Elephas maximus indicus: one gene and its partners. The protein of the gene in region 4 purifies or fractionates together with the protein of the main gene of each other region. This does not show direct contact. Links are inferred from orthologs where the notes say so. Each region holds a gene or a part of one and is shown on either strand. Other genes may lie near its edges. The genes, in order: SATB2, BICD2, WDCP and PLK1.

Region 1 (7,281 bases), on a different chromosome or scaffold from region 4:
GCAGGAAAGGGATTTGGGCGGTCGGGGGGTTCCCAGCACTCCAGAGCGAGGCGCGAGCCCTGGCCGCGCATACTTACTGCTCACGGTCTGTCTGTAACTTGGCTGGCTGGGGCTCTGTCCATGGAGCAAAAGTAGAGAATCCAGGGTGGAAAGTTTCTGGTGCTTTGACTTGCAGTGTTCCCCTAGTCTTCCTTTCTCTTTACTTCTTCCCCTTTCCTCTCCCCCAGGTCCTAACGTTTAAGGTCCTGGGTCAGGGTGTCTTCTTCTTGTGCGGAGATGGTTGTTATGATGATGATGGGGAGGGAGGGGGAGGAGGAGGAAAGGGAAAGGAGGGCTCCTCCAAAGGGGCACCCGAGCGAGCGGGGGAGGGGACGGCGGAGGAGGGGGGAGAGAGAAGGAGGCTGAAGACCGCCTTGTCACACCTTCGGGAAGGAGATCGGTTCTGGAGAGAAAGGGCTGAGAACCGGGAAGCGGCGGCGGCTGGCCGGGAGTGCGGGTTCGTAGGGCCGCTAGCTCCGGAGGAGGAGCGGCCGGAGCCGCCGGGCCGGTGCCACCGAGAACCGGGAAGGCGCCAGGACCGGGACCACGCGCGGGAGAGAGCGCGGCGGGCGCCGGAGCTGTCACCCCTAGCCTCTCCCCTCTCGGCCGCCGCCGCCAGCAGCCAGAGCCGGACTCACTGACAAGCCGCAGAGAGAGACGCACTGAGAGGGAGATGATTATTAGTTGCGTTGAGTCATCAGGCAAAGTGAGTCCTTTTGGGTTGTCCTCGGTTTCCGATTTCTCCCCCTCCCCCTTTCCGTCCCCAGATCTAGCGCCTTGGAAATAATAATTTGGGGTGGGGGTAGGGGAAGTCTTTGGGTTATTTCGGGATGGGGGTGGGGGGGAACAGATCTAATCCCAAGCCAGACTGGTCCACCGCAATCAAGGAGGGGAGTGGGGGTAGGGGAGGAGGGCTGGGGAGGTTGCGGGGGGAAGGGAGCCCCGCCTGGCAGGAAATTAAACATCAATCAATCAATCGCTGTGAAAGCGGCGACCCAACAGCGGCTGGGCTGCAGAGCAGGCAGAGGGACAAGCAAGGGGCGGGTGAGAGGGAGGAGGAGGAGGGAGAAGGAGGAAGGAGAGAGTCGGCGGTGGGAGCAGGGTGGCGAGGACCGTGCACGCCAGGCGGCTGAGGACCGATGGCAGAGGACGGAATGCAGCGCGAGACAGTGGCCGCGGCCGGCGGGCGGGTGTGCCCGGGCGCCAGGCCCGGGGTCTGGTCCTCCTCCTCACGGCGGGTCCAGGGCGCGGCCGCCTCTCCCAGCCCGTAGGCGCGCTTGTCCCGGCGCGGAGGTGGCAGCGACAAGGCAGGCACTGGGTGCCGAGTCTCCCGGCAGACCCACGCGCAGGCGGTGGCCGCGGCTGCCTCGGCTCCCGGCTCTGCTAACTGCGCCGAGTACTTTCGACTTTGGAGATAGGAGGGCGATCGCCTCCCCCACCCACCGCCTCCGCCCACCCCCCAACGCCTCCGCCCCTCGAAGCAACTTTTCCCGGTGCCTGCAGCTCCCCCTCGGCGCGGAGCCGGCCGTCCGGGCCCGCCGAGCAGCCGCGCTCCGCGCCGCCGGCTACAGGGGGAAGGCCGCTTTTCCCTCACAGCGGGCACAGCCCGCGGGTCCGGAACAATAGCCGGGGTGTCCCGAGCGGCGGGAGCTTGAGCACTGCCCTTCCCGCTGCGGGTGGCACCGGAGAGGGGGCTGCGTGGGGGGAGCAGGGCGAGGGGCATCCCTGGATTGCGTCCCTGAAGCGCTCGCAGCGCCGGAGACATCGCGAGCGGAACAGCCTGGGCCGCTTGGAGCTCGTGGCGCGGTGGCAGCGATGACAGTAGGGTTGCCTGTCCTTGGGCTGCGGGGCTGGGGCTCCGGAGACCCCAAGTGACTCGGGCCTGGACTGCGGGCGCTGACAGAACTGTGCGGTGAGGACCCGGCCTCCCCGCCCCGGGAGAGGCTGCGCGGGGGCGTCCCCGGTGGATCCTGCACAGGGGTCACAGAGCCACAAACTTTTGCCGACTCGCGCGGTCGCGGCCGCCGCCGCCCGCAGCTGAGCTCCGGCCGCGGCGCTCATTTAAGGTGGCGCAGGCCCTAGCCGAGCAGGCTGGGCTCTGGCCGCGCTTTTGTCCCTGCGGGCCCGCTTAGCCGCCGGGCCTCCTTAAGGAGCTGCTGCACGTGGGCAAGAGCCGCAGTCCCTGCGAGACGCCTAGGGCGCTGGCGGACACTCGCCGCTGGAACCCGGGGCGGGAAGATGTGGGCCGGTCCCGTCGACCTTCAGGCCGACGAAGTCCACTCAGCTGGCGGCGCCTCCCAGCTCTCCCGCACACCTAGGTGCTCTTGCCTAATATCCAGGACCCCGAGGATTCCCCCCTCTATCTAGTAGCCCTAGCCGCCAGTCCCCCTTAAGAAGCATTGACTGTACGGCGGCGCCAGAGGGCCAAACTAAGTTCGGTTTCGGGAAACGCGCTCCGGGGGGCAATTCTGGAAATTCCGGCCCAGAACTGGGACAGCGGGAAGCCACGTTCACTGAGCGTGCCAGAGATCGGGTCGAGAACCCACTCGCCGCACCTACCCGAAGGACTGCTGGCGCGCAGTCATCTCAAAAGCAGGGGCCGGAGAGGCCGGGGAGCCTCTGGATGAGAAAGGGTCCCAGAAGCGAAACCTGCCCCCGGCCTGTCTTGGCGCCCAGATCCGGGTGTACCCCGCACTCAGGCACCGCCCACCAAGTTCCAAAGGAGCCGAAGGCCGCCGGGGAGGCAGCAAGAGCCCTGCCGACAAAGGGAGCGAGCAAGATAGGAAACCTTCGGGGAGCCACCCTGGGGATTTAGGCAGCGCTTCACTTTCCCTATTTTTCTTTCCCAAATGCTATTTTTCCCCCAAACAAATGGGTTAGAGGAAATGCACAATTCGAAGTCGCTGAGGGCAAAGAGCCTCAAATAAATCAACCCGTGGTGGTAGCTAAAAGGTTTTTGGCTGCAAAGAAACAAACTGTAAGTTCGATCGACAAACTTTTTTTATCCGTAATATCACGTCGAAGTAAGAAGGGGGGTGGTGGCAAAAACCAACTGCCACTGTCCAACTTTGAGCCCATTTTCAAAATGGTGAAAGACACATTTCTTATTAATTCCTTGAGAACGATAATGCTGTCTCTTTCCTTACCTTGGTGGTGAACTGCGGAATCCTCCTCCGGATCCGTGTCCAGGAACTTAGAAGGATTTGTGATATTAGGACTTCAGTACTTCTGGAAAAAAATGGAAGTGGTTTAGCCAGAATCTTTCCTGTCTGATTCGTCACTATTATTATATCTGATGATGCGGATGGTTGGAGCGATTCAATCCTAAGCCATTAATGAGCTATTTTATGAACACCACTGTCTGAAGGTCTTCATTTACATTTTGGGAAGATCACTTTGCTAACCTCACAGTCTTGTGTCAACAGCAGGATTACAAGACTTCAGTTACACTCTTATAAACAACACAGCCGTGTTGTTAATCGGTTAATATTTCATAAAGTTAAATATTTTATTATATTTTGAGGGAACTATTGACTCTAAATTATTAAATCCCTGAGAAGGACGATTTAAATAAAGTAAACAATTAAGTACAATTAAGTGTACATTGTGATTAAGTTTGTTTTCAGATTCTGCACTTTTAAATTCATTGATTTTTTTTTCTCTTTATTGGAACTTCCTCCTATCTGTTTTTTTTATAGTGAACAAATTCATTTGGGTTAAAGAAAGTCTCAAATTATTTAAAAGTGCATTTAACATAGAGGAAGATGTAAAACAATTATTATCAGAAATATAGTTTGAGGATTTGTAGAGTTACACTTAGCAACGCAGATTACAAATTTCTTTCAGTTTAAAAAAGGAGAATCCTAGGAAGTTTTGTGATGTATGCCCAGCTGAGTTTTTTTCCTTGGGTTTTATCCCTAATAAAGGCCTTTTCTGTTTCAAATTACATACGCTTTTTACAGCACAATATTTGTATTGACCTTATTTCTATTGAAGTAAGCTATTTCCAGTATGTTTAATTTTGACAAGAAGGGATATTTAACATTTTTTAATCTTTCACTAGGATTGTCTACTTTTTAAGACAGTAAATAAATAATTATGATGATTCAAAATTTTTGTTTGGCTTCGCTTTATGTTCCTAAGTTGTTTATTCCCATTTTTGAAACAAAATCACACTCAAGAAAAGAATTGGTTTTAATTACTTTTGTCTTTTTTTAATACATATATATATTGATCCAAAACGCATTTTGTGCATTACGGCTGTCCTTTGTCCCGGTGCTCGAAAGCATAAAGTTCACATTTGGGAGACATTTTTATCCCTCAGCTTGCTTCTCACTGACATTTTAATCCGGAACTGCTCCGACTTTTTCTCCTTCCCCCACCCCCAATTTTTTTCTTATGTCACTTAGTCAAAGGTCGCCTGTCTTTCAGAAACACGGAGATTTGTTATTTTAAAAATCAACGGATCTTCATATACTGGGCTTAAATGCGCATGTTTTTTCTTATTTCCACGTCTCCCCCATTTCTCTCTCCTCAGCAGGCCTCCTTTCTCTCAGGGCCTGCACATTCAGTGACAACACTTCTGATTTTTCTTAAGACCGATGCTCTGCTGTGCGGGCTCCCGCTGCGGACGGCCTAGGCCCAACTGCTCGGGCGTAGGGTGCGGGGTGTCGGGAGCGGGAGCCCCGCACCCTGCCGGCCACCTGGACCTCTTAAGGCCCAGCAATCCTTCCCTAGGCCCCCGGCTTTCAAGCCGGGTCATCCAAGCAAAGGGGCTCTCCCGGCCGTGCGCTGCCTCTCAGAGAACACCGGAAAGTTGTGCGGCGTCTTGCCTCCAAACTCAGACGCACAGGGAAAACCGTGGGAATTGCCACCGTCAAATGCCTTAGACGGCTCTTGGGAACAGACGCAGGCCTGCCTCTACCCCCCCCCCCCCCGGGCTTGCCCTGTGGGGGGCGGGAGGAGGGCAGGAGGGAAGTGTTCCTCTCAAATGAAGCCCATATCAGCTCTGGAGCCAATTTTCGCGGCGGACTGTCGGTGGAGAGAGTAGACGGCCTACATGTTCGCGGGCGGCTTAACTGCACCGGGCTTGGATTGGAAATTGGCTGTGCCAAGGGGCTAAGGACCCAGGGCCAGGACCCGCGCAGAAAAAACAGGTTGACTGTGGGGCGCGAGCCCTGGAGGAGTCTGGGGACCGACCGAGCGCGCCGGGGGCGGGGGGGGGGGCAGGGTTAGGGCGGGGAGGGCCACTTACTTCGTTATGGGTCCACCTTCCTCCTTGGCATCAGAGCGGGGCAACCCTAACCCGCGCCCGGCAAAGATCAATTGCCCCTTCTGACCCCGCGGCTCCTGGGCCTGGGCTGGAGCCAAGCGGCCAGGAAGCCCTCGGGACGCCGCAGGTCCGGGCGGTGGAGGACCTGCTACCGTCCTCGAACTAGCCAGCCTCTTTGGCCTAGACGGAGAGATGTGTCCCAGTGAGACAACTGATTGGAAAAGAACGGTGGGCAACTAGTCCACGTTAGGTGGTGAACCTAGCACCCAGGAAGCGGGTGCGTCGGGGCTTAGCGGAAGGGACACTGCAAAGGCCCGGAGGACGGGATGGGAGGCAAGAAAGGCAGCCCAGGAGCTGCCTCCAGAGGAGAGGGAGCTTTCTGCACCCGGGTCCCAGATGTAGGGGGTGGGAGACGGCGTCGGGGGTGGGCCTTGCCTGCCCTGGGGAAGGAAAGCTAGCGGAGCAAGGCGGGCCGTTGGGTGGAGGTCTAGGTGTCCATTAGCTGAGGCCCGGGTTAGGAGGCCCCAGAAAGCAAAGGGTCTGCAGGCTCCGAGCACTCCCCAAGCGACACACAGCAACGTCCCCGGGACTCCCGAGGTCCCTTCATTCTTTTACAGAGTCAAGAGCTTAGAAGCCTGATCTCTTTCTGCGGCAGCAGCGAGAGAATGACTGCCTTGCTAATCTAGCTTATTTATAGGAATCGACTTTAAACGACGGTATAACAAAGCAAAGGGGGAGAGAAAACGAAACCCCAAAGTGGCCGCCGCTCCCTCCCGCCCCCACCCCGACGCGGCGGGGTTGGGAGCCGGGAATCTCTCTCCCGCCCGGCTGAGTCTCCTTTCTGGAAACACAAAGCCGGGCGGAAGGGTTCGGTCCTATCTGTAATCTCCCGGCCAAAAGGCGGTGGTGACAAGTCCACGGCCTCGACTCATCTTTACGGCCTTGTCACCTCCGAGCGCAGGTCACTGCCCGGGCCCCGGCCCGGAGGCTAAGCGTCCTCTCCCGACAGCGCCACCGCGTGGGCTGCGACGCCCTGGGCTCAGCCCGCGGCTCTCGGGAGTCGGCGGGTCTGCCGAGCTCCAGTCCTCTGGTTAATGTTGTGGCGGAGGCTGAGCAGGGCCAGACTCCCGGCCCATCGAGATCAGCCAACACCGAGGATGCTCCTCGCGCGCACAAAATGCCGGCGCCCGCAGTCGGCCCCAACCACTTTAATGAAAAGAATATCTGGTAAGGCCAGGCCGCAGTCCCCACTTGCACCCTAAACTCCAGTAGGCAGGCAGACTGCGCCATGGAACCTGGGCCCACCCTTTGCCAGAGCAGGCGGGCCCCAGCAGCAGGTCCGAAGTGGCACAAGCCGGAGAGTTACCGGAGAGGTCCTCTGTGCCGATCCCGAAACACACCTAAAAGGGCGAGAAATCCGGCGCCCCGCCCGACCACCCTTGCTTCTGAAGTGACACAAGGTCCTGGCCATTCTACTGGAGTCGAGGATCGGGCGGGGAGCCGCTCTGTCCAGCTGTCTGGTCCGGTCAGGCGGCGGGGAAAACCAAGAGGGCTCTACGAAAGGATGCCCCGCTTGTTCTCTCGGTTGCACGAAGCCCCTCGGACATCCTTACTCCGTCAAGGCTTGACCACCAGGCTAAGGCCCAGGTGGCAGTAACAGAGGCGATCCAGCGCTGAGCAACTGCCCATCCCAAGGGGCCTGCCCTCTGGGCCCTTCCCCAAGCCCAGCGGGCTGGACATCACTTTGCGCTTCGCGGCAGCAGGCCAGGACTTAAGGGCCCCCACTTTGGGTTTAGAGAACTCTACTGGGTGGGTTGGGGCTTATTTTAAATAAATTCGATTGTTCGCACACGTGCGCGCACACACACAAATTATGCGACTGGCGGCTATTGAAAGGGACAACCACCCAGAAAGGTGTAAATTCACCCGGTCCAACCCAATTACAAAGCTCCCAGCCCCCCTCCACACAC
Region 2 (8,127 bases), on a different chromosome or scaffold from region 4:
TCTGCTCTCATAGCCCAGGTTCAGGTCTGAGACTATGCCTCAGCTCTGCTTGTACTAGGCCAGGTAGGCCTGGAGAGGAACACAGTGGCAAGGCCTTTCTGCCCTCTTATTCCAGATCCACAAAGACCAGGCTCTGATCCAATCCCGTCACGTGTGCCTGGCCTGGTTCACACACTGGTTCCCACCAAGCCCTCCTGCCTGACCCCAACCTCAGTCTACCCCCCACAATAACTGCCAGACTGCCCAAAGACAGGAGCTGGCAGCCTTAGCACACCAGTCCCCTTGGAAGCTGCAGCTGAGGCAAGAGAGTAAGATGTACCTGGCCTAAAGTCACAGAGTCACTCAGGACAGGAAACGATATTTACCTAACCCAGCATCACTCCAGCTCTCTTAACTATCCACCAGGGAAGGGGAAGCAGGGGGCAAAGCTAGACTTGGGATGGGTCACCCCCTACCCTACCTATTCCTGTTTCTCTCCCACCAAACTGGGGCACTTGCAGGAGGGTTTTCATCTTGGCCCTCTCCTTGATGCGGTGCCAGCCAACCCTGGCTCAGAGGAGGCTCCACTACCTGCAGACAGACCACCAGGGCCCTATGTCATACAAGTCAGCCTCGAGGTTGTGAGACTCATGTAGACATGCAAGGAGCCCAGCTCCCAGCTGCCCCTCAGCCAGTTATTTACTGGTACCAACAGGGCACCTCCACTGCCCAGGTCTTGCTTTACACACTTGGCTTGGACTAACTCATTTACTCCTCTCCACAGTCAGGGAGGGTCCTACTGGTCTCCCAGGGAGGCAGTAGAGGCTCCAAAGGGCCAAGGCACCTGCCTAAGGCCAACAGGGGTGGGAATGCAGGGAAGTGAGCATCAGGGAAGCAGCAAGTATGGTGGATCCCCAAGACCCAGGGCCCACAGTCAAGAGCCCACCTGGCCAAGGGAGGAGTCAGTGGGGAAGTGGGGCACACGCTGTCAGAGAAATCAACAGGCTACAGAACTGTCAACTACACATCAGCCACCATGCCAGGCTTGTTCAAATACACGATCCTCAGACACACCCATCTGGGTGGGCAATGTTGTACACTCATTTGGCAGAGACAGAAACTAAGGTTCAGAGAGTATCCCTGCCTACCACCACATCACCACTAAAGGGCAAACCCAGGTGTATCTACCCAGACAGCAACTTCTTCTCCCCAACCCCACAATAGGGTATGGGCGTTAGGGAGGGGTGGGATAAAAACTGGTATTTAAATCATCCCAGGAGAACTACTGCAAGTGGCAGGTTGCCCAGTTCTCACAGGTACTCTCCCAGAAGCCCCTGGTGCCCCTCCCCTCCCACTCTCTCACCACCCTCCAAGAGAACTCTCAGGCCACCTGGGGGCCTAATCTCCTAATCCTCAAAGTGAAAATTAAACAGGAAACAGAGGTCTGTCCGTGAGGGCCACAGCCCCACCCAAGGACCCACAGACCTGCCATCACATCTGCAGAGGCCTTCTCGATGGCATAGTGAGGAAGGTCCCGTGAGGAGGCATGGGACAGGAAGTGGTCGGGAGAAGCATTACATCCCAGATGGTGGGAGAAATAATCATGGCAGTGAGGAGAGTGCATCCTGGTCGGGGAGCTGTGCCTGGTAAGGAGACACTGGGGGGACCCCAGTCAACGCTGATGGCCACATGCAAAACCGAGTCCCTGACTCCCTCAGGCCCCTTGTCCAGGGCCTTTCTCAGCCTCACAGCACTCAGGAAGGAGCTGAAACCGCGCTGAACGTAGCTGCGCCCAGAGAAGGGAAGTGATTTGCCCGAAGGTGACACAACAGCAGCCCCCACAAAGACTCAGGCCTGGCCTTTCCCAACCGGTCAGCTCCATCTGCCAGCCTCAGCTCTTGGCTCAGCATTCACACACCACCCACCCACCCACGCACACACACAGGACAGCAAAACGCTGCAGAAAATATTACCCCCACTTTATAAAACCTAACTCTGCCTGTGGTGCCCACAGGCCTGCCAAAAGCAGAAAAGCTGGCTGGCGATGGCCCGACTGAAAGCGTGTACCTCCACAGGTTCCACAACCGCTCAGCCCAAAAAATCAGCCTGGCTGGACATTTCCCTGCCTTTGCTCGCGGAGGTCAAGACTCCCTCCCACATGTCCTGTCTACGACATCCTGGGGCCTGCCTAGCTCCCAGGAAGCCACTGGGCTGGAATCCTCCTGAGAATGGGCCATGCAGGCTGCCACTCTCCAGGGGCAGGGGCAGAAGCCGGGATACGAAGGATTGGGCCGGGCAGCCGGGGTCCTGAGGGTCCAGCTGCGGTCCCCACGGCCCCACTCACGGAAGCCAGCCGCTACGACTGGGGCGAAGGAGGCTCTCGGGGGCCTCTGGGCCCCTCTTCCACAAACAGCACCTCCCGGACCCATCTCCCTCTGCCAGTGGAAGGGTGACCTTGGGCGCCGGCCGCCTCCCTCTCGGCGTCGGTGTACCCTCTGTCCCAAGGGACGCCTGCCCAGCTGAGCCCCGGCTCCCCGACTCGCGGGTCGGGGAGGGGGGGTCCGATCGGGCGGGGCTTGCCCAGCGGCCGATGGAGGGCGTGGCGGCGGCGGCCCGGCCCGCTCACCTCTTTGAGCTGCTCCATCTCGCCGCGGATGGCCTCATAGTCCACCTCGAGCTCCTCGAACTGCAGCTTCAGCTGGTGCTTCTCCTCCAGCACCGCCAGCCCGTACTCGGCCGCCTGTATCTTCTCGCGCGTGGTCTCGGCCAGCTCGTGGGAGAGCCTCTTCACCTCGGCGCGCAGCCACTCGGGCTGCGCCTCCATCACCAGCCGCGCGTACTCCTCCTCCTCCGAGGGCGCCGACATGGTGGCGCACGGGCGGTGGCTCGCGCCAGGACTGGCACGGACACCGCAGGCCGGGCAGGCGCGGGGCCGTAGCTCTCGCAGAGCTCACCAGTCACCGCCGCCCATCCCCGACGGCCGCCCCGGGCCGCGGACGCGCCGCCGCAGTAGTCTCTCTGCCCGAGGGATTGTGGGAATGGTAGTCTCCACTCATGAGCCCACTACAAGGCCCATCGTACCCCGCGCCGCCCCGCCCTCAGCTGTGACTGGCTCTGGCTGTGACGTCACGGAGCCGGGACCCTAGTGGCCCAGCGGCGGAAGAGGCTTTCCTTCCGGCCCCGGGAGTCTGGAGGCTTGGATACCCTGCTGGTGGCAGAGGTCCGAGTTGGCGGGCGCGGTGGGGCCGGTGGGAGGGGTCTCCGCAGCCCCCAGGACCTTCCGAGGCAGAAGGCGGTGGCCCGGTGCTTTGTGTTCGCCGGGTCCGCCCGTAGGCGCCTGCACGTACCGAGCTCTCGCTGAGCCTGGCCTGGAGGGCGTTTCGCGGGTCGGTGATACCCGCGCCGTGTGGCCCCTACACGAGCTGCATGACCTGGGCAAATGGCTCAGCCGCGCCGAGCCTCGATTTTCCCATCTGTGCCGTGGAGCTTCTAAGGAAACCTGGCAGGGTTCTTGGGAGGGTTAAGTGAGCTCCTCCAAGAATGCGCGGGCGCGGTGAGTTCTGACCGCCGGTGTGGAGAGCAAATAGCGGTTGTGTTTTGAAATGTTTCTGTGTCAGCGCTTTGAGCCATCTTTGAGAAATTCGTAGACCGAGCTCGAGGAGGCGCATTGTTTGTGGAGGTAAAAAACGAACCAACTTCGGTGCACGGCGACAGGGTCTGGGACGAAAAAAACGGAGGTAGCCAGGCCCGGTATGTGACTTTATCCGACAGTTAAATGAGATGGAGAGAGTCCCGAGACATTCTCGAGTCAGAGGTACATAATAAACCGTTCAGTACTGAATTTCTAAATCCTAACAACATAGGAACAGTGTTCTGTGGGAACGTGTATGGACATAAATGTTAAGAAACAAGCTGCAAGAGCACACACCAAAATGATGACAGGTTAGCAGAACGGGTATATGGGTAGGGATCAAAGAGAACTTTAGCCCCAACTATGACTTTCTTTCATAACCCCTAAGTACTTCAGGGTGTATTTCTTAAGAATAAAGGTATTTACATAACCGCAGTACAATTATCCAATTCAGGAGACTGAATATTGATACAGTGCTATTGGAGCCCTGGTGGCGCAGCGGTTAAGAGCGCCGTTGCTAAATCAAAAGGTGGGAGGTTTGAATCCACCAGCCACTCCTTGGAAACTATATGGGGCAGTTCTACTCTGTCCTAAAGGGTTGCTATGAGTTGGAATTGATTCAGTGGCAACAGATTTACAGTACTATTGTCCACTTTCCATATTCCAATTTCTTTGATGTCCCAATAATGTCTTTTATAGCTTCCCCCCCCATCCAGGATCCAATCTGAGATCATGCATTGCATTCAGTTACCATGTCTCTTTCGTTGTTGTTGTTAGGTGCCATCCAGTCAGTTGCGACTCATAACGACCCTGTGTACCACAGAACAGAACACTGCCCTGTCCTATGCCATCCTTACAATCATTGTTATGCTTGAGCACATTGTTTCAGCCACTGTGTCAGTCCATATCTTTGAGGGTCTTCCTCTTTTCCACTGACCCTCTATTTTACCAAGCACCATGTCCTTCACCAAGGACTGATCCCTCCTGACAACCTGTCCAAAGTATGTATCTAAGGAGCATTCGGGTTGTACTTCTTCCAAAACAGATTTGTTCGTTCATTTGGCAGTCCATGGCATATTCAATATTCTTCGCCAACACTACAATTCAAAGGCGTCAATTCTTCTTCGCTTTTCCTTCTTCATTGTCCAGCTTTCACATGCATATGATGCGATTGAAAATACCATGGCTTGGGTCAGGCGCACCTTAGTCGTCAAGGTGACATCTTTGCTTTTCAACACTTTAAAGAGGTCTTTTGCAGCAGATTTGCCCAATGCAATGTGTCTTGATTTCTTGACTGCTGCTTCCATGGCTGTTGATTGTGGATCCAAGTAAAATGAAATCCTTGACAACTTCAATCTTTTCTCCATTTTTCATGATGTTGTTCACTGGTCCAGTTGTGAGGATTTTTGTTTTCTTTATGTTGAGGTATAATCCATACTGAAGGCTGTGGTCTTTGATCTTCATTAGTAAGTGCTTCAAGTCCTCTTTCAGCAAGCATAACTGTCTGCATAATGCAGGTTGTTAATAAGTCTTCCTCCAATCCTGATGCCCTTTTCTTCTACAGTCCAACTTCTCAGATATTTGCTCAGCATACAGATTGAATGGGTATGGTGAAAGGATACAACCCTGATGCACACCTTTCCTGACTTTAAACCACGCAGTATACCCTTGTTCTGTCCGAACAACTGCTTCTTGATCTATGTACAGGTTCCTCATGAGCACAATTAAGTGTTCTGGAATTCCCATTCTTCACAGTGTTACCCATCATTTGTTATGATCCATGTCCCTTTAGTCGGCTCTAATCTGGAAGTTTCTCAGTCTTTGTCTTTCATGACCTTGACCTTTCCAAGGAGTACAGATGATACCCCTTCTGCTAACCTGTCATCATTGTGGTCTGTACTCTTGCAGCCTGTTTCCTCGACATTTATGTCCATATACACTTCCACAGAATATGGTAGAACATCGTTCCTATGTTTTTATTAGAAATCTAAAAATCCAACACTATTATTCTCACTCAACAATGTCTTGGGGCTCTTTCCACTTCATTCATTTTAACTGTCAGGTAAAGTCCAGTTATTTACACACTCCCTCCATTTGGGTTTGTCTGAGGTTTTCTTGCGGTTAGATTAAGGTTACACATTTTTGGCAGTAGAGTCACAGAAGCGATGCTGAGTTCTTCATACATCATATTTGGAGGTACACAATGCTTAAATTGTCCAATTACTGGTGATGTTAACTTAGATCAGCTAAGGTGGTGTCTGCCAGGTTTCTCCACTGTCCAGTTACTGTTATGGAATTAGTATCATATGAGACTTGTGCCTTTGAGATTTGTGCCAGTATCCTGCTACTACTCAAACTTTTACCCATTAGTTTTACCATTAATTGATAATATGTCTTGTCTGAACTAATTATTACCATACTAGTTGCTTTCTTCTTTCCGTCATTCCTTCTCCATTAGATGGCTTTGCACTATAAGGAAGATATTTCCCTTCTCAATAATTCATTACCAGTATGGATTCATGGATTCTTTGGCTGATGAGAGCCCCTCCAAGCTGGCTCCTGTGTCCTTTCAACATGTCGTCATTTTCAAGCACTCTCTTACTTTCTGGCACAAGTTATTCCAGGATCGTCTTGTCCTTCCTTAGAATCAGCCATTTCTTCAAGGAGCCCTGACTTCTTTTAGTCATTTAATGTTTTATTTTTATGAAATGAATGTGTCATATTTGTGAAATTAAAAATACTTTTTCAGGAGGTCAACTGTGGTAGTAGTAGGATGACCAACCATGCTGGTTTGCCAGGACTGTCCTGGTTTTAGCACTGAAAGTCTCACATCCTGGGAAACCCCTCAGGCCTAGGCAAGCTGGGACCATTGTTGGCCTAAGTAGAAGGGATCTTAGGGCGAAGAAGGGCAGAGAGAATGAGCCTTGTTTGAGTGAGTTTCCCCAGTGTAGGAGGAAGGACTGATGCTCCCAGAATCAGTGATTTGCTCAAGGTCATACGTCAGTGGTAAAGTCCAGTAGCCTGACTTCAATGCCTGCTACTCTCACCCCCAGTCTTCATATGCTATTGACCTGAGGGGGCAAGGGAAAGGACCGTGGGGATCTGGTGCAGGGAAAGACCACAGAGCTTTGAACTTAAAGACAGGGTGGTGGCTGGAAGGGGACAGGGTAGGCCTCACACACATTCAGGCTACAGGCAGGGACTTTTCTGGGTATTGGGGACATAGGGACCTGTCAACCATTTGGTACTTCCAGCAAGAAGGACAGCTGCTCTGGTGTCAAGGCTTGAGCTGTGTTGGAGTAGTCTGGAAGCCATGACATGTGACATTGTCATGAGAGGGGATCAGAAAGGGCTTCCCTGAGGGAGTGACACCTGAGCAGAGATCCACAGGATGGCCAGAAGTTGGCCGGTCTACGGCTCCCATCATAGAGGGTCTCACAGGGACAAGAGGAATAGGGTGGCTTTGCACTCACCCAGGGAGCGGACAGCTGCGTGCCCAGCATTGCCAGGTCCTCAACACACATTGTCTCGTTTAATCCTTCCTGCACTCTGAGAAGTGGGGATTACTCCATCCATTGCAAAAGTGAGAACACTGAGGCCCAGGGCAGAATCCTTGTGGTCACCCTTGACTTTGTACTCCCCGCACCACTCAATCTGTCAGTAAAGGCTGTGTGCCCAAGTTTCAGAACAAACTGAACTGAAATCAGATCTTTCTCCCCTCTCCCCACTGCTGCCTCCCTGGTCTGAGCCCCATTACCTCCCAACTGGACTGTACAGACACCTCGTGTCCCTGCCCTCACCCCCTCCCACCCTCTACCGAGTCTATTCTCTTCACCCAAGTTGGTCACGTCCCTACTCTGCTCAAAACCCTCCTAGAATCAGTCAACTCTGCAGCAACCTCCAAAGCCCTGCTGACCTGACCCCTCTCTGACCTTTCTACCACTCTCGCCCTCTCTGACCTCCTCTCTGCCACGCTCTCCCTCTCTCACTCGCCTCCAGCCTCCTAGTCTCCCTGCTGCACCTCCAGCAAGGACCTTTGCTGTTCCCTCTACCTGACAGTGCTTACTTCCTCACCTCTACTCAGCTTTTTATTCAAAAGTCCCCTGTACCCTATTTCCCTTCTCTGCTTTATTTTTCTCCATAATATACTGTATGTTGTACTTATTTACCTTTTCACTGTCTGTATCCCCCACTAGAACATCAGGTCCATGAGGGCAGGGGTCTTGGCAAGGCCTTGATCTTTCCTCACCCACAGCATGTGCGCCAGTGTTCGTGGAAGGAGTGAACAAATGAAGAGATGTTGAATAGCTCAGCCAAGGTCCTACTGTGAGTCAGATGGAGACACAGGCTTGATGCTGAAATCCAGTCTGTCCTCACCATGCACCATTCCCTGGATCCCAGACACTTTCTGATTGAAAGATAAGGAAGGCCTAGGAGAACTGAGGTAGCTTTGGTAGAGAACGGGAGAACACAGTACAAGTAGTGGTGGAAACTTGGGGAATACCAGGGACACATAT
Region 3 (7,674 bases), about 42 Mb from region 4:
TAACTTCCACACCTGTGGTTTTGGAGTGGAAAAACTCTATGGGGCAGTTCTACTCTGTCCTATAGGGTCGCTATGAGTCAGAATTGACTCGACGGCACTGGCGTGGTGCACTGGTTAAGAGCTACGGCTGCTAACCAAAAGGTCAGTAGTTCGAATCCACTAGCCACTCCACGGAAACCCTATGGGGCAGTTCTACTCTGTCCTATAGTGTCACTTTGAGTCGGAATTGACTCACAGCAATGTTTTTTTTTTAATGCCTGTGATTATAACCCCACTGGGAATGGGTTGTCTTTGTTATGTTAATGAGACTGGATTAGTATAGGATGTGTCTTAAATCAATCTCTTTTGAGATATAAAGAGATTAAACAAGCAAGCCAAAGAAGCAGAGGTGGGGGAAGAGAGATGCTATGAAGATTGCCCAGTAGAAGCTAGAAAAGACAAGGACCTTCCTCCATAGCCAACAGAGAGAGAAAGCCTTCCCCTAGAGCCAGCACCCTGGATTTGGACTTTTAGCCTCCTAAACCATGAAAAAATAAGTTTCTATATATTAAAGCCACCCATTTGCCATATTTCTCTTACAGCACTAGATGACGAAGACAGGGTCCAATATACTTGGAGACTGGGAGAATCATTAAAACATTTGATACCTGGGGGAGAGGAATGGTCAGATACGCATTTTAAAAAAGACTTTGGGCTGTGGTATAGAAAATTAGTGGGGTGGGGAGGGGAGACTGAACGGGGGGGAGGGGTTGTGAGACCGAAGCGGGGAGGTGAGGCTGAAGGGAAATGAGGTAAAACTGAAGAGGGGAGGTGAGTCTAAAGGTGGGAAGTGAGACTGAAGGGGGAGGTGAGACTGAATGGAGGAAGTGAGACTGAAGTGGGGAGGTGAGACTGAAGGGGCTGGGGAGAGGATGAAGGGGAGGAGGTGAGGCTGAAAGCAGTGAGATGAGTTTAGAGTCTGTGCAGAAATGCAAGTGAGAGATGATGGTGGCCTGACCTAGGGCAGGGCCTGGGGGAAGGGATCCTAGCAATATTGATCAGGAAGACTTGACAGGACTTGGTAAGGGGCCTGACCAAAGACAAGTGTCCCCAGTATGGGAGTATTCTTGTTGCAGTATTAACTTGTATTTTCCCCTCCTGGCTCTTTTGTACTTCCTGACTGAGGGGTTTACAGAGAGCTGACAGCAGAAAGCCAAATCTCCTCCAGGCTTTCCCTAAACATCTAATCCCCCTCAAGAGAAAATGTTCCGAGTCCCTGGCCAAGAAGGGAGGATAAGGAGAGAACGCTCTAAAGGCTGAGGCTTGTATGAGCCAGGGAAAGAAGATGAGGCCTCCACCCCATCCAAGAACTCTATGGCGGTGCCCTGGGGGAGGGAGGCTGGTGACCAGGACTCAGGGAGATGTTCCCTGGGGCCCAGAAAACGAGGTCCCCATCATGGGCAAAGAAACCTATACCCCACGGGTGACTCGAGGTATCATCTGGGACTTCTAGGGACGACTGTTTTTGAACAAGGAAGGCAGCCTGGAATCAAGAGACCTTCCTAATTTCATGGGGTGGGAATGTCAATAATGTCTAGGGTGAAATACGCCCGTGAAGTCCCGCAGAATGGCCGCTCTAGTCTGAATTAAACCGTACTTAAGAAATAAAGAAATGGCTATTTCCTACACACCCAAACCCAATTATTCAAGGATGTCACCTGAGGTGTCTGGCTTGGGAACGAGAGTCAAGGTACAGGGAACACAGAAAGAGGAGCGCTTGGGGGTGGAGGTGGGGGTGGGGAGGGAGCGTAAGTTCTGTTTTGGACTTGCTGACTTTGAGGTACCCCGTGGGAAGTCTAGGTATAGGTTGAGCAGCAGCCGGATACATGGATCACTGTGAACTCAGGCGGGAGGTCTGGACGGGAGGCTTAGATGTGGAAGCCATCGGTTTCCAGATGATAATGAAAGCCATGAGAGTGGACAGGATCTCCGGAGAGGGTGAGTGGGGCAGAGAGGATAAAGCGCGATCCAGAGGTGGAGGCGGGAGTGCTTCTCCTTTCCCAGTCTGGCTCTGTCCCTACAGGGTCCCACTGCCCAGTCCGCAGTGACCCGCTCCACACGAGGCCCTGCGTGGGGCGCATTAGAAGGGGGAGGAGTAAAGACCCTTTCCCAGGTTTTCAGAGCGCACGTAGCACGGTAAGGAAAGCGGGGCTAAAACCCAGCCCTGGAAAATGAGCAGCAGCGGATAACCGAGTGGTTCCCTCGGCGGCAGCCAGAGGCCCCTGGGGCGGTCACCCGGCGCAGACCCCAGCCTCTGGGCTTCCACCTTCATACCCCCAGGTGAGCCAGCGCGGAAGGGGATGGCGGAGAATCTTCTTCTAGACTCGGAGGAATCCCGATCGCGGTCTCCTCCCGCCGCTCCTCATCCTAGGCCCATACCCCTATCGGCACCCTCAGCACCAAGCGAGTCAGACCCCCGCCCGCCCGGCCCCGCCCTGGGACCCCTCCCCCTCCCCCCGGCTCCACCGCCCGGTACCGTCTCCCGGGGAGATGGTCTCGATCTCCACGCCCATCGTGGTCCCACAGGCCCCGCCTCTGGGGGGGTCCCCGCTGCTGCCCCGACCCCGGCTCGGCAATGGCCCCGGCCTGCTGGCTCTCCGGCTCGCCTCCCCGCCGCCACTGCAGAGCCGGAGGAGGTGCGGCTGGAGTCGGGACCCGCGCGGGGAGGGGCCACGGGAAAGGGGGCGGCGGGGCGGAGCCGCGCGGAAAGGTGGGGTTCGCCGGGGAGGGGCCCTGGAGAAGGGACCCTGACGTGGCCGCTCCCGAGCCTGGCTTGGCTAAGCCTCTTCAACCTACTGGGTGGGGAAGGCGGAGAGGGACGCACACAAGCACTCTCATTGCACCCAGCCATCCATCCATCCCTCCATCCATCAGTTCAATACATATTTGTTTAGCACCTACTGTACGCTAACTGGAAACCCTGGTGGCGTAGTGGTTAAGTGCTACGGCTGCTAACCAAAGGGTCGGCAGTTCAAGTCCGCTAGGCGCTCCTTGGAAACTCTATGGGGCAGTTCTACTCTGTCCCATAGGGTCGCTATGTGTCGGAATCGACTCGACGGCAGTGGGTTTTGGGTGTGCTAACCAGGAAACCCCGGTGGCTTAGTGGTTAAGTGCTACAGGTGCCAACCGAGAGGTCGGCAGTTGGAATCTACCAGGCGCTACTTGGAAACTCTATGGAGCAGTTCTACTGTCTTATAGGGTTGCTGTGAGTTGGAGTCAATTTTACGGCAAGGGGTTTGGTTTATTTATTTATTTATTACTCTATGGTAAGCTCTGGGGCGTCAACTCAGTCCCACAGACTAGGGGGAGAAGGCAAGCAATTAAACTAATATTTTAATTAGATGTGCTCACTGTCCTGGAGTTCAGAATGTTATGGAATTGCCAGAGAGGTACCTACCCTAACTGAGGATGGGAGTGGGGGATTAAGGGAGGCTTCCTGAATCTATAGAGCTGGGGATAGGGGAGAGGGCGTCAGCCATTGCTGGCCCTCCGGCACGCCCCTAAACCCCTATTCGCTATTCTGTGTAGTTCGGCTCCGTGCACATTTATTGGGTTTCCACTTTTCCAGGCAAAGCGCTGCGCCGTGGCGATGCCAATTAAGACAGGATCGCTGTCCTTGAAGACCTAAGTCTGTAATCAGACAGTTACAGGGCGGAGTGATTGAGCTCCTCCTCCACACCAAACCCGTCACCTTCACCCAAAAGAGATCAGGCAATCCGGAAAGATGTTTTAGGAGGAGGTAACAGTTGCCTGAGGTGTGACTGGGACTTTTAAAACTTTTTTTCCTCCTCGTTATTTCCTGCATTGTTCTAAAAATTTAAGGTAAGATTCTGACAGGTGGCGCTGGAAGGTCGGCGTTCGGAGAATATCCTGAGTAAAGGTGTCCAGAGTGGGACCTAGAGGTGTTCTTCCTCCATTTTTCCTACACCCCCCTCCCCCCCACCACAATGCAGGTGGTTAGGTCAGAGACTGCTGGTCATCAGCGTCACTGAAGGAGGACTGGCTGTGTTGGTCCAAACTCAAGAAAGATGATGGTCAACTGTACTGTGGGAGTCAGTACCTGAAACTCCCTATGGGCTGCTCCGAGGAATGGCTCAGGGGTGTAGCTGGTCTAAGAAGCCTAGTGACGCGGTAGGGGCTGCCGCCTTTAGGGTAGGCGTAGAACTGAGATTTATAACTGATCCTTTCAAATTAAGCGGCTTCAGTCGAAGACACTGGTGTATGGATAAGAACATTTTTCTTCTTTTTTTTTATATTTAATCAGATTTTAAAGAGGTTCCCGACACCCCTACCTTTAAAAAAAAAAAAAGGTTAAGAAACTGTGGCGTCGACCCTAGGCTCCTGGACTCCTTCTTAGTCTAAGAGAACCAGCGAGTAGTGGGAAACAGCGCTAAGAGAAGGAAAAACTGTGGCTGGTTTACGGTCCGTGGAGTTCCACGGAGACTACAACTCCCAGAGATCCGTGCGGCAAAGCCTGAGCTGCTTGGCCGATGGGAAGGACCCTCTCCTAACGTGACACATGCAAAAGCCAATAGGCAGGGGGCACTGCAGAGCTTTCCTGGCACCGCTCACATATCAGAGCACTGGAGGCAGATATTTCCGGCACCTGCTCCGGGCTTCGGATCCGCGGTCTGGTGAAGTGGGGCGGCCCCGGGGTGACTGGTTCTGTGCAGACAGTGAGACCAAAGGTATTTTGTCTCCACTGCTGCCCGTCCTGGCTGATGTGGGGAGGCTGCGGGTGGGCTGGGAGAGAGGTGGAGATGTCACCGCGTGAGCGGCATAGGGGGGACCCAGGTGTGCGGAGAGGATGGGCCGAAAGAAGCGTCCCGCGTGGGGAGGGGCGGGAGGATGAGGCTAGAGCTGGGGGTGGTTTTCAAGGAGTGAGTATGTTTCCTGTGACTCATGAATGTTACTTTTGGGAATATATCCTAAGGAATATATATATAAATATAAATATATAAAGAACACACTTCATTCATGCACAAAGACCTGTATCAAAGTGTTACTTATAATAGGATAAAGTTGGCGACAGCCTGGGTGTTTCAGCAGTGAGAGTTCAGTGACTATTAAGTGAATATTAAGTGACCTCAAAATATAATTTGTAAAATTTTTTAAATAACATGAGGAAGTGCTAATAAATAATAACCCAAATGTTAAGTGAAAAAATGTACGATATGATTGAAAAATTTAACAACCAAAACCTATACAGAGAAAAAAGTTGAAAGGATGCAGTCATGATTTTCTTTGGATGAATGGATTTTTATGAATTTCTCCTTTTACTTTTCTAAACCCTCCCCCCCCAAATTAACTGTAAATAACTTGTAATTCTTTTTGAGTTGAAACATAATAAATTTAGAAACTTAGAAAAACAAGGGTATGTACCTCTGTTTAAACCTCCTGGAAATGCTCTAATACACCTAAGCCCCTTGATTTTCACCATGAGTTGTCTTTAAAGAAGATTACGAACAGCAATTAAATGGTTATATATTGAGCAGTAGATCCTGGTTCTGACCACCTCTTCTCCTGGTCTTTTCTCTCTCTAAAACACCCTATCACAGTGTAGAAGTCATTTGGCTAGGCTTTGTGGGGAATCAAAGATAAATAAGATATGGCTCCTGATTTCAGAAAGCTCCTAGTCTGCCTGGGGGTTGAGAGACCAACAGGTACACAGCTTCAAGAAAATTGTAAAATTTTTAAAAAAGAATAATAGGGAAACTCTTGTTCCAACCTTGATCCTCTTGGCCTTCTGATTTTTTCACAGGGAGCTGCTTTGGTTTCAACTACTAACCCTATGCCAAAAAAAAAGAACCTATTGCCCTGATTCCATTCTTACACATAGCAGCAGTTACCAGTTAAGAGCTTTAACCACTACACCACCAGGGCTCCTTAACGCCATGCCAGTGACTCCCAAATCCTTACCTCTAACTGCCTAAGATACACATACTACCTCACAGACTTCTTGAATGAAGCACATCTAATACTAAACTAATCACACACAGCCATCTAAACTTGGAAGCATGTTCTTCCTTTAGCTTTGCTTAATGGTTCAGCAGTTTCCCAAGCTAAAAATCTCCATTTTATCCTTGATTTTTCTTTCTCCCTTACCACTCATATTCTAGCTGATATTATCTATTCCATCTGCCTCAGAAATATCGCTTGAATCTGGTCCCTTTGTCTACTGAAATAGCTGCACACTTGGTTTACTTTCTCATTGTGGCATTCAAACTATTCCATAGCTTCTTATTAAACTTGGCAACTTTCTTCCTTCTTAGGTCCATCTTGCACATTGTCACATGAATGTGTACTGGTTTCCCCAAATTCCAAATTCCTTAGCAGGTCCTTTATGATGGGGGAGAAAAGGTCGGAAAGGTAGACCAATATTAAGTGATATAAAGCCCTAAATGCCTTGCTAAGATATTTTGAAATAACTTATTTTTTTTATATACTCTAGGCTGTGGAGACCTATCACAGGTTTTTGAACAAAAGAGCAAAATAATTTAAAACTTTTTTTTTTTAAAGATAATTCTGTCCAGCCACACATATTGTCTAGGAAAGAGAAGAGACTGTTACCAAGGAGACCTCTCCTTGTTCAGTAAAATGGGAGAAGTGGTCAGGACCTGGATTAACACAATGTCACGAGGAGTGGAAAGGAATGAAGCATTTTTGTAATTGCTGTTAGGTTTTTAGGAAAAATATGCCAAATTTCTTCTTGTCCCAAAGATGAAAATATGAAAGTAATTCTTCTAAAAGCCTCAGTAGCCTTTATTATTTTGTTTTCCCTTATTCACAAATTCTTAGGTGCTACCCCTGGCCACACACACCCTCAATGGCATTAGACTGAATTGGGTGGCCTGTTGTTATAATTGGCCCGTAGGAATTTTCTCTGCCCAGGAAGATGGATCGTGCAGCATTTATCAATGAAAGTCTTTTGAAAAGTGCATGAATAGATCTTAGGAGAAAACATATATTATACAGACCAGTGGGATAGAGATTGCAGTTTTTTTCATTAGTAATGACAGGGGACTTATTTTTCCATCTAGCAAGCCACTGCAGAACCACTTAATCTTACATCAGCGAGAATGCATAACGTCTTTTTGCAGAATCTTATTAGTAAATGATTCTAAGAGCAAGGATGAAGCTAGCAAGGAGGTATGAGAAATAATTCACAGATAAATTAAAAGCAAATCACCAGGCAGTGTGGTAGAGAATACATTTCTTTGGATTTAGAGTCTGAAGACTTCTCAAGTTTTGTCTTTAACACTTACTACTCAGTGATTAAATAAAACAAGGCTGAAAAATGTCAGTTGGATTCGGTGACACCGATGGCACTGGTGGCTTGGTGAGAGCTCTTTTGGAGAGATGGGAATAGACTCGGATTGGAGTGGGTTAAGAGAGTAAGTGGTGAAGAAATAGCACTGCAAATTCAGACAACTCTTTGATAACTAATCAGATTAAATATGTTTGTTGATCATTTGTGTTTTTTTGTAAATTGCCTGTGGATATTCTATGGCCTTTTTAAAATTTTAAAATTTAGGATATTTGCCTTTTTAACTGGTTTGTAAGAGCTTATTATAAAACTTTCTTTGTCAAAAAATAAGTAAGTAAAGAGGATCCACTTTATCTCTTAATACCACC
Region 4 (7,719 bases):
ATAAAAGCCAGCTTTTGCCCATAGGGATCTTGCAGTTGAGTGGGGAGAAAGCCAAGCAAACAGAACATAGAGTTCTCTGATGGAGGCCTGAGGCGCCCGTCTTGAAAGTCACCATAGTGGTGAGGAGTGTGGGCTCTGATCTCAGGCAGATCAAGTCCCAGCCCTGCAATTTACTAGTCTTGTGACTTTGGGCAAGTTAGCTCACCTCATGAAACCTCAGATTTCTTATCCATAAAATGGGGAAGGGACTGTTAGGGTGATTTAAATGTATTCACACGTGTAAAGTATGAGTATAGTGTCTGGTTCAGGGTTACCACTCAATAAATGGTAGTTAAATTACTATTAATATTGGGAAATGATATACCTAGAAGGAAACCCCTTATATTCTCCATTCTTATATATTTTTAATTTTTTTTCTTAATTTCAATTTTGGTGAAAATATACACAGCAGAACATACACCCATTCATCAGTTTCTACATATTCAATTTAGAAACATTGGTTATGTTCTTCACATTGTGTCACCATTCTTGGTGTCTCTACCCATGTTGTTTCACCAACATTGAGTTAGACTCACTACCCACTAAAGTTCTCATCTATGCTTTAGAGTTACTACTGGCAGTTTGATCTCATGTAGAAAGTTCTTTAAAAAAGCACAATGGTCATGGTGAACATCCCTTACTCACTTAGCTAAACAGTTGTTTAGTTTAAAGATGACTTCAGAGGATAATTTTGGTTCACGGTTTGAAAATTTTCTCAGAGTGATAGATTCAGGGTTTCCTCCAGTCTCAGTAAGCCCAGTAAGTCTGGATTCTATAAGAATATACAATTCTGTTCGACATTCCCCCCCGTGATGGTTAATATTGTGTGTCAGCTTGGCTAGGCCATGATTCTCAGTGTTTATATGTGATCGCTCCCATGATGGAATCTACTCTGAGTGGCCAATCAGTTGAAAGGGAGTTTCTGTGGGGATGTGGCCTTCATCCGAATATAAGGAGATGTTCTGGCTTTTTGCTCATTCTGGATTCTCCAGCCGCATTCTGTTTGTCTGACCTTTTACTCTTGGGACTTGAGCTATCAGCTTATCTGCAGATCTTGGGATTCGTAGATCTTCACAGCCTGAGAGCGGGAGTCCCGCTCTTCAGCCTGCCTATCTTGGGTTCACCAGCCCCAGCGGCTACGTTAATTGAGAAAAGCCTCTATTCTGATCCACAGACTGGGGACATTCCAGCCTCTATAGTCTCGTGAGCCTTTTCCTTGATATGAATCTCTCTATATAAAAAAAAAAAAAAAAAAATTTTTTTTTTTTTATATATTTATACACTTTACTGGTTTTGCTTCTCTAGAAGACCCAGGCTAAGACACCCCACTTTTGATCAGGATTCATCTCTTGATTCCTTGATCAAAACGTTCAGTAACGGTAGCTGGCACCATCCAGTTCTTTTGGTCTCATGGCTGAGGAGGCAGTAGTTCATGGAGGCAGTTAGACCTGCAATCATGTTCCTGTCCCGATTCCTCAGTCTCCTTCTTCCTCTGCTGCTCCATTTTTTAAAAAATTTTAAAGTAAAATTAAGAACATCTTGCCCTTTATAATTGGTCCGGTACAAAGAAGAGTTGGTGGAAAAGAACTCATTCTTCCTTGTTTTGCATCTATAGGGTGCTAGGCACTTAGTACAAAACATTTAATCCTTCCAACTGTCAAAACAGTAGGGATTTTTGCAACCCATTTTACAGAGGAGGAACCTGACATTCAGAGAATTTAAGTAAATTTGCCCAACATCACACAGCTAATAAATGGCTGAGTTGAAATCAAAACCAAGTCTTATCTGGCCTCGAAGTCCATGCTCCATGCAGCTTCTCCAATACCCTGGGCCTCCAAAGCAGTTGGCTCTGAGGACTACACTTACTGCCTTGTTGGTTAACCCTTTGCTTTCCTTAGGTTTTTGCTGGTGGGTTGTTCCCCTCTGACCTGGATCCTGAAGTGAGAAGAGTTGGCACAGGGCATCTTGCTTCCTTGAGGAGAGCAAATGAGCTGGTTCTGGATCTCCCAGTTCACTGGGCATTAGGAACATAGGGCATGGAGAGGAACATCTTTCAAGAAAAGAGACACAGGAATGGAATCCATGTCCTTTCTGGCTCTCAGACCTTGGGCCTGTGGATTTTCTTGGTCCTACCAACTTGACTTTTTTCAGCTATAGTCTCCTCAACCTTTCGTGTCTCTTGAGTGTGGTTTTTGTTTTCCCATGGGAGCAGCAAGAGCCTGAGGAAGCAGTAGGGACAGGAGAGGGGGAGAATAAGGAAATATGAGAGGCCTAGGAACTGCCCTGGTGGTACCGTGGATACAGGGCTTATTTTAATTTGCACCTAAAGGCATAACTGAGATCCGTACTGCAGGTTGGTCTCACCCTGAGGCCTGGGGTCCCACTGATAATAATTTTGCTGTAAGGAAACCTTAGCCAAGGGCCAAGGGGGTAGACTGTGCAGAAAAGAGTTAACACAGCAAGACCTGAGAGTGCTAGCCTCAGAAAGCCCTGTTTGCAAAGCTGGCCCCTGACTGGCATCTAGGACCTTGAATTTTGGGAGGGCTGTCACCATTCCCTAAGTGATAAGGATGAGTCACTGTATCTAAACTGTTGGGGCAAACAACATGTTTTATGCTGAACACCTGCTTTCTTTCTGGGAGTCTGAAGTTTTGGTATGTACTAGGCAAAGAGTGTCCATGTGACCAACCCCCAGTAAAAACTCCAGACACTGAGGCTCTAATGAGCTTCCCTGGTAGACAACATTTCACACGTATCGTCATAACTTATTGCTGAAGAGCTAAATGCATACTGTGCAACTCCACCTGGTTCCCTCCGGGCTTTGTCCCATGCCCCTTTTCCCTTTGCTGAGTTCGCTTCATGTCCTTTTGCTGTAATAAATCATAGCCATGAATAAAAGTATATGCCAAGTCCTGTGAGTCTTCTAGCAAATCATTGACTGGGAGTGGCTTTGGGGACCCCCAACACAGGGCCCCAGGGGGGCTTCAGGGGTGTTGGTAATGTTCTCTTTCTCCGTCCGGTTGCCAGTTACATGGGGTGTGTTCAGTTTGTGGAACCTCATCGAGCTGTAAGTTGTGATACGTGCACTTCCTCTATGAATATATTAAACATAAATAAAAAGTTCAAAGAAAAAAGGTGGTTACGCAGGATTAAAAAAAAACTTTTTTTTTTTTAACTTTTTATTCTGCTCATTACCCCTTTCACCCCAAGCATTGTGTTGGGAGCAAGACATGGAGTAGAAAAGACAGCATCATTGTCATTGTCGCCTGGTTTAATTGGGAGGCAGGTAAAGATGTGCTTACAAGATGGTTGATTCTTGCAAACTTTATCAAGGACATCAGAGGGTGCTAAGGGGCTACAGAAAAGGGGCTTCTAACTTGGGTATATGGCCATTCCAGGGTTGCCACTCACATACCTACAGAAGCCAGACAGGCAAATGGGCAAAGGCGGAGAGGTGGGAACTGGCAAACTGGGAAGACATGCAGGCCTACTGTTGCTTAACTTCTGGGTTTTTTCGGGAAAAGCCACAAATGTGATTTTTTTTTTTAATTTGAGCTCTCGATTTTTAAATCCTGTAAATGAATTCAATTTTTAAAAAGTGGGGAGGCCAAACGAAATACCCCTGCTGGCCAAATCTGGCCATGGCCTGTCGGGTTGCTAGGCATTCATCCCATCAGCCATTCCTCCCTGTGACCAACAAATTGAGCGTACACTTTTTTTTAGGCATTGGGATAGCAGGGAGCAAGCCAAACAGCTTTCTTGCATAGTGGGTACTGGGCTTCTCAAACTAAAGTGTGTGTAGGAATCACCTGGGCAATCTTGTTGAAAGGTGGCTTCTGACTCAGGAGGTCTGGGGTGAGGCCTTTCTACCAATGCTCAGGTGATGGTGATGCTGGGTCCCTGGACCAGACTTTGAGTAGCGTGGCTCTGTAATGCAGAGGGGCTCAGGAGCAGCTATTTATTTGGAGGGGGCCTAGGGGACTTGCTGTGAAGGTACATTTGCCTGGCAAGCATTCTGTTTTTACGTAGTTTATTTGGGGTGGCTTGGTAGAGAGCTGATGACCACGGAGGCGGGTGCTAAGCTTGTCCCGAGCTACCCCTTGGCTCTGCCAGGTCTCTACTCTTATAGCGCTTACGTTGTGGTAGGCGGGGTGGGAATGGAGGACGGGGCAGGGGGAGGGGTGGTAAAGGAACGTGTTAGGAAAAGCCTGGACGACGTGCATGTGAATTGCAGGAGCTCCCCCAGCTGCCCCCGAACGGGAGACACCCTGAACTCCCCTCCGCAGGCATTCCCAAGCCGAGTTTCCAAGGCATCCCACGTGTGTGCTGTCCGCGCGTCCCTCCCAATCAAGTTTCCTTCCCTGCTGAGCGAAGGTTTAAAGGCGGCGGCTTTGCAGAGCGCTCCCATGGTGCCGCGCGGTGGGCGGGTTTGGATTTTAAATCCCCGCGGCCAATCAGTGGCGCGCAGGGTTTTGTAACGTTCCCGGCGCCGCGTTTGAATTCGAGGGGAGCGGAGCGGAGCGGAGCGGAGCGGTGCGGAGCGTCTACCCAGACCCTGGTAAGCCCGCTGAGCAACTTCGAGAGCATGAGTGCGGTGGTGACGGCAGGGAAGCTGGCACGGGCACCGGCAGAGACCGGGAAGACCGGGGCCCCGGGAATTGCGGTTCCCGGGGCTACGGCGTCCGCCCCGCCGGCGAAAGAGATCCCGGAGGTCCTAGTGGATCCTCGCAGCCGGCGGCGCTATCTGCGCGGTCGCTTCCTGGGCAAGGGAGGCTTTGCCAAGTGCTTCGAGATCTCGGACGCAGACACCAAGGAGGTGTTCGCCGGCAAGATCGTGCCTAAGTCGCTGTTGCTCAAGCCGCACCAGAAGGAGAAGATGTCCATGGAAATATCTATTCACCGCAGCCTCGCCCACCAGCACGTCGTCGGCTTCCACGGCTTTTTCGAGGACAACGACTTTGTGTTCGTGGTGCTGGAGCTCTGCCGCCGGAGGGTGAGGGTCTCTGACGGAGGATTGCAGTTGCTTGGGGGCCGGTGTTGGGGCGCTGGGGGCCCTGAGCTGCTGGGAAGGACTTCCTGGGGAAGGAGCGCCCGGGACCCGCAGCTGCTAGGGAAGGGTTGCTGGGAACCTCTAGGTGGGGCAGGGGAAGGTCTCGGGTAGGGGGTGCTTGGCACTTGAGGCTGCTTGCGTAGGGGGTTAAGTGGAGCCTGAGTTTTGTTGCTGCTGGGGAAGGCAGCTCCTGGACGCGAGGTGTTTGGAGAGGGGAGAACTCTGGTAGTGAATAAATACTAGGGCCCCCAGAGTTCCTATGGGAGGAGCCCTGGGTAAAGGGCGCTGGGGACCTGGAGCTGCCGGAGTGGGGCTGGGGAGGAACAGAAGGGCTGGAGCCAGACTTCGGAGCTTCCAGGGGAGAGAAAGGAAAGAGTACTGGGGACTCTGAGCTTCGGGAGTGGAGCTGGAAGAGGCGTCCCAGATAAGGATCTTGGGAGGAAGGCGCTACTGGGAGAGAGTGCTGTGAGCTGTAATAGCCAGGGTTAGGGCATGGGTCCAGCTTGGGGTTGTCCTGAAGAAGGAATGCAAGAGGGGATAGGAGAGGGAAAGAATCTGTCAAGATCCTTCCCGTATACCTTTGCCTGCCGCTGGGGGTCCAGGGTCCAGTCCTGGGCTGCCTTTCCCTGGCGACCCCACATCCTCAGTGCCACCTCTCCGTTCCTCCTCCTACTGGGGCCTAGTCCCTTCTGGAGCTGCACAAACGGAGGAAAGCGCTGACAGAGCCTGAGGCCCGCTACTACCTGCGGCAGATAGTCCTTGGCTGCCAGTACTTGCACCGAAACCGTGTCATTCACCGGGACCTCAAGCTGGGCAACCTCTTTCTGAATGAAGACCTGGAGGTGAAAATAGGTGAGGTGCTGGGCCTGTAGGGGTGCCCTGCACCACTAGAAGCGGGGAAGAAGGATGAGGAAGTGGAGGGAGGGAGGAAACAGGAAGAAGGCAAGGGAGGATGAGGTGATGGGAAGTCTGAGCTGTTGATTCCCTCTAGAGTCCCTCTTTAGCCCAGAAATTTAAAACAAAGGGCCCACAAGCCAGTATCTTGCCTGTAAATGCATTTTGTGCCCCTTCACAGTATTTTTTTTTTTTTTTTGTAAGAATTAGAATTAGTTTTTTTCACTTGGGAGGCTTGACATAAAAATTTGGATTTGGAGCTCCTTTTAAACGATTAGAAGCACCAGCAACACAGGGACAGCATTCCCTGAGGGCAGCCCTTTTCTGGGCTGAAAGCAGCTGTCCCCTTTAGAATCCCTCTGGTTTGCCACAGTCCCTACCCCTCCCTATTACTTCCTCAAACTTACCAAGCATCAGTCATGAGGTTACTTGCTTGATCCCTGTAGGTGTTTGAGTTTTGCTGTCCCTGTCTTGTTCCCTTTTAGAAGCATAGCCCTCCTTTTTATGGGGGACTGGGGGAACACTGGGTGGCATCATCCTGGGGTCAGCAGATGGGAGGATTCCTGGGCAAGCCTCCCTGGGTGCAAGGAGTAGAGACTTGTGGGAACAAATGACTGTGGGGCTTGATGGTTGAATCTGAACCAGCTGTCTGCATTGACAGCTGGCAGAGACTGGCATCTGAGCATCCCCTCTTCCTCCTTCTGTCCCAGGGGATTTTGGACTGGCCACCAAAGTTGAGTATGACGGGGAGCGGAAGAAGACCCTGTGTGGGACTCCTAATTACATTGCTCCTGAGGTGCTGAGCAAGAAAGGGCACAGTTTCGAGGTGGATGTGTGGTCTATTGGGTGCATCATGTAAGTTGGGAGCTGTCTCAGGACCCATCTGGCCTCAGTAGGGGCCCTTTTGGGCATCTTACCTGGCTGACCTTCTGGGGACACTTCCCCTTATGGAAAGGCTGTTCCAACGGACAGATGTTCCAAAAACAAACCCTAATTTCCCTATCTTGTTGCTCTGTAGTATTCTGTAAGATTCCTGCAGCCTGGGCCATGAGTCCAGGAAGGGGGAAGGGGCACCAGTTGGCATGTTTCCATAACCTTGCTCTAGATCCTCACTACTCCAAGTGGGGTCCACAGACCAACAACATCAGCATCACCTAGGAACTTGTTAGAAATGCAGACTGTCAGGCCCCAGACTTAATGAGTCAGAATCTGGAGTTTAACAGAATTCCCGGTTGATTTTTATGCACAATAAAGTTTTAGGAACACTGATCTGGAAAGCAGCACTGGGTGAGAGGAATCAGGCCAGGTGTTAGGGCTGGCAGGAGGGGGTTCCTGTGGTCTGTCTGGATCAAGACCATCAGGGAGGAGGCTGGGTGGTGGGCAGAGGTGTGGGCCTTCTCAGAGGTGTTAGCTTTATTGTTGTCATTGTTGGCCTGGGTACTAGAGAGTTAGAAATGAGTTGTAGCAATGGCTTTCATACTTTGCAATAGAGCTTTTTTTCCAAATGAAAATGTCAAGCCTTCTCTTAAGTGTAGAAACTACTAAATGTGGAGCTGCTTCTATAGGAGTTGGGAGCTCACATACTTCAACCTGCATTGTACAGCTGGCAGCCTCTGAGGCCCTTCCACAGGGTCCTATGTTACTACTGCAAGCTGGAGCTGAAAAATCATTGGCCCATAAGAACCCTGGTGTCATCCTCTGTATTCTGCCAACGGCTCATCCCAGCCAGTGTCCTG

The links.
Region 1: the proteins of PLK1 (region 4) and SATB2 purify together in Homo sapiens (affinity purification with mass spectrometry; 3 studies listed by BioGRID and IntAct, counting the BioPlex papers as one, with this or other methods). This does not show direct contact. The link is inferred for Elephas maximus indicus from reciprocal best matches to the Homo sapiens genes PLK1 and SATB2.
Region 2: the proteins of PLK1 (region 4) and BICD2 purify together in Homo sapiens (affinity purification with mass spectrometry; 6 studies listed by BioGRID and IntAct, counting the BioPlex papers as one, with this or other methods). This does not show direct contact. The link is inferred for Elephas maximus indicus from reciprocal best matches to the Homo sapiens genes PLK1 and BICD2.
Region 3: the proteins of PLK1 (region 4) and WDCP purify together in Homo sapiens (affinity purification with mass spectrometry; 4 studies listed by BioGRID and IntAct, with this or other methods). This does not show direct contact. The link is inferred for Elephas maximus indicus from reciprocal best matches to the Homo sapiens genes PLK1 and WDCP.

Annotation. Positions count from the first base shown.
Region 1 is NC_064824.1:97,962,162-97,969,442, forward strand, and holds the start of SATB2 (DNA-binding protein SATB2), read right to left. Parts: upstream 3,206-7,281; 5' UTR 3,186-3,205; intron 663-3,185; exon of another isoform or gene 423-662; intron 231-422; exon of another isoform or gene 78-230; intron 1-77. UniProt on the Homo sapiens protein: Binds to DNA, at nuclear matrix- or scaffold-associated regions. Thought to recognize the sugar-phosphate structure of double-stranded DNA.
Region 2 is NC_064827.1:111,157,241-111,165,367, forward strand, and holds the start of BICD2 (protein bicaudal D homolog 2), read right to left. Parts: upstream 3,001-8,127; 5' UTR 2,846-3,000; coding exon 2,606-2,845; intron 1-2,605. UniProt on the Homo sapiens protein: Acts as an adapter protein linking the dynein motor complex to various cargos and converts dynein from a non-processive to a highly processive motor in the presence of dynactin.
Region 3 is NC_064830.1:41,584,073-41,591,746, reverse strand, and holds the start of WDCP (WD repeat and coiled-coil-containing protein), read left to right. Parts: upstream 1-4,635; 5' UTR 4,636-4,727; intron 4,728-7,674. Other genes in the region: peptidyl-prolyl cis-trans isomerase FKBP1B, read right to left, coding at 2,516-2,552.
Region 4 is NC_064830.1:83,878,444-83,886,162, forward strand, and holds the start of PLK1 (serine/threonine-protein kinase PLK1), read left to right. Parts: upstream 1-4,503; 5' UTR 4,504-4,624; coding exon 4,625-5,032; intron 5,033-5,772; coding exon 5,773-5,941; intron 5,942-6,693; coding exon 6,694-6,838; intron 6,839-7,719. UniProt on the Homo sapiens protein: Serine/threonine-protein kinase that performs several important functions throughout M phase of the cell cycle, including the regulation of centrosome maturation and spindle assembly, the removal of cohesins from chromosome arms, the inactivation of anaphase-promoting complex/cyclosome (APC/C) inhibitors, and the regulation of mitotic exit and cytokinesis.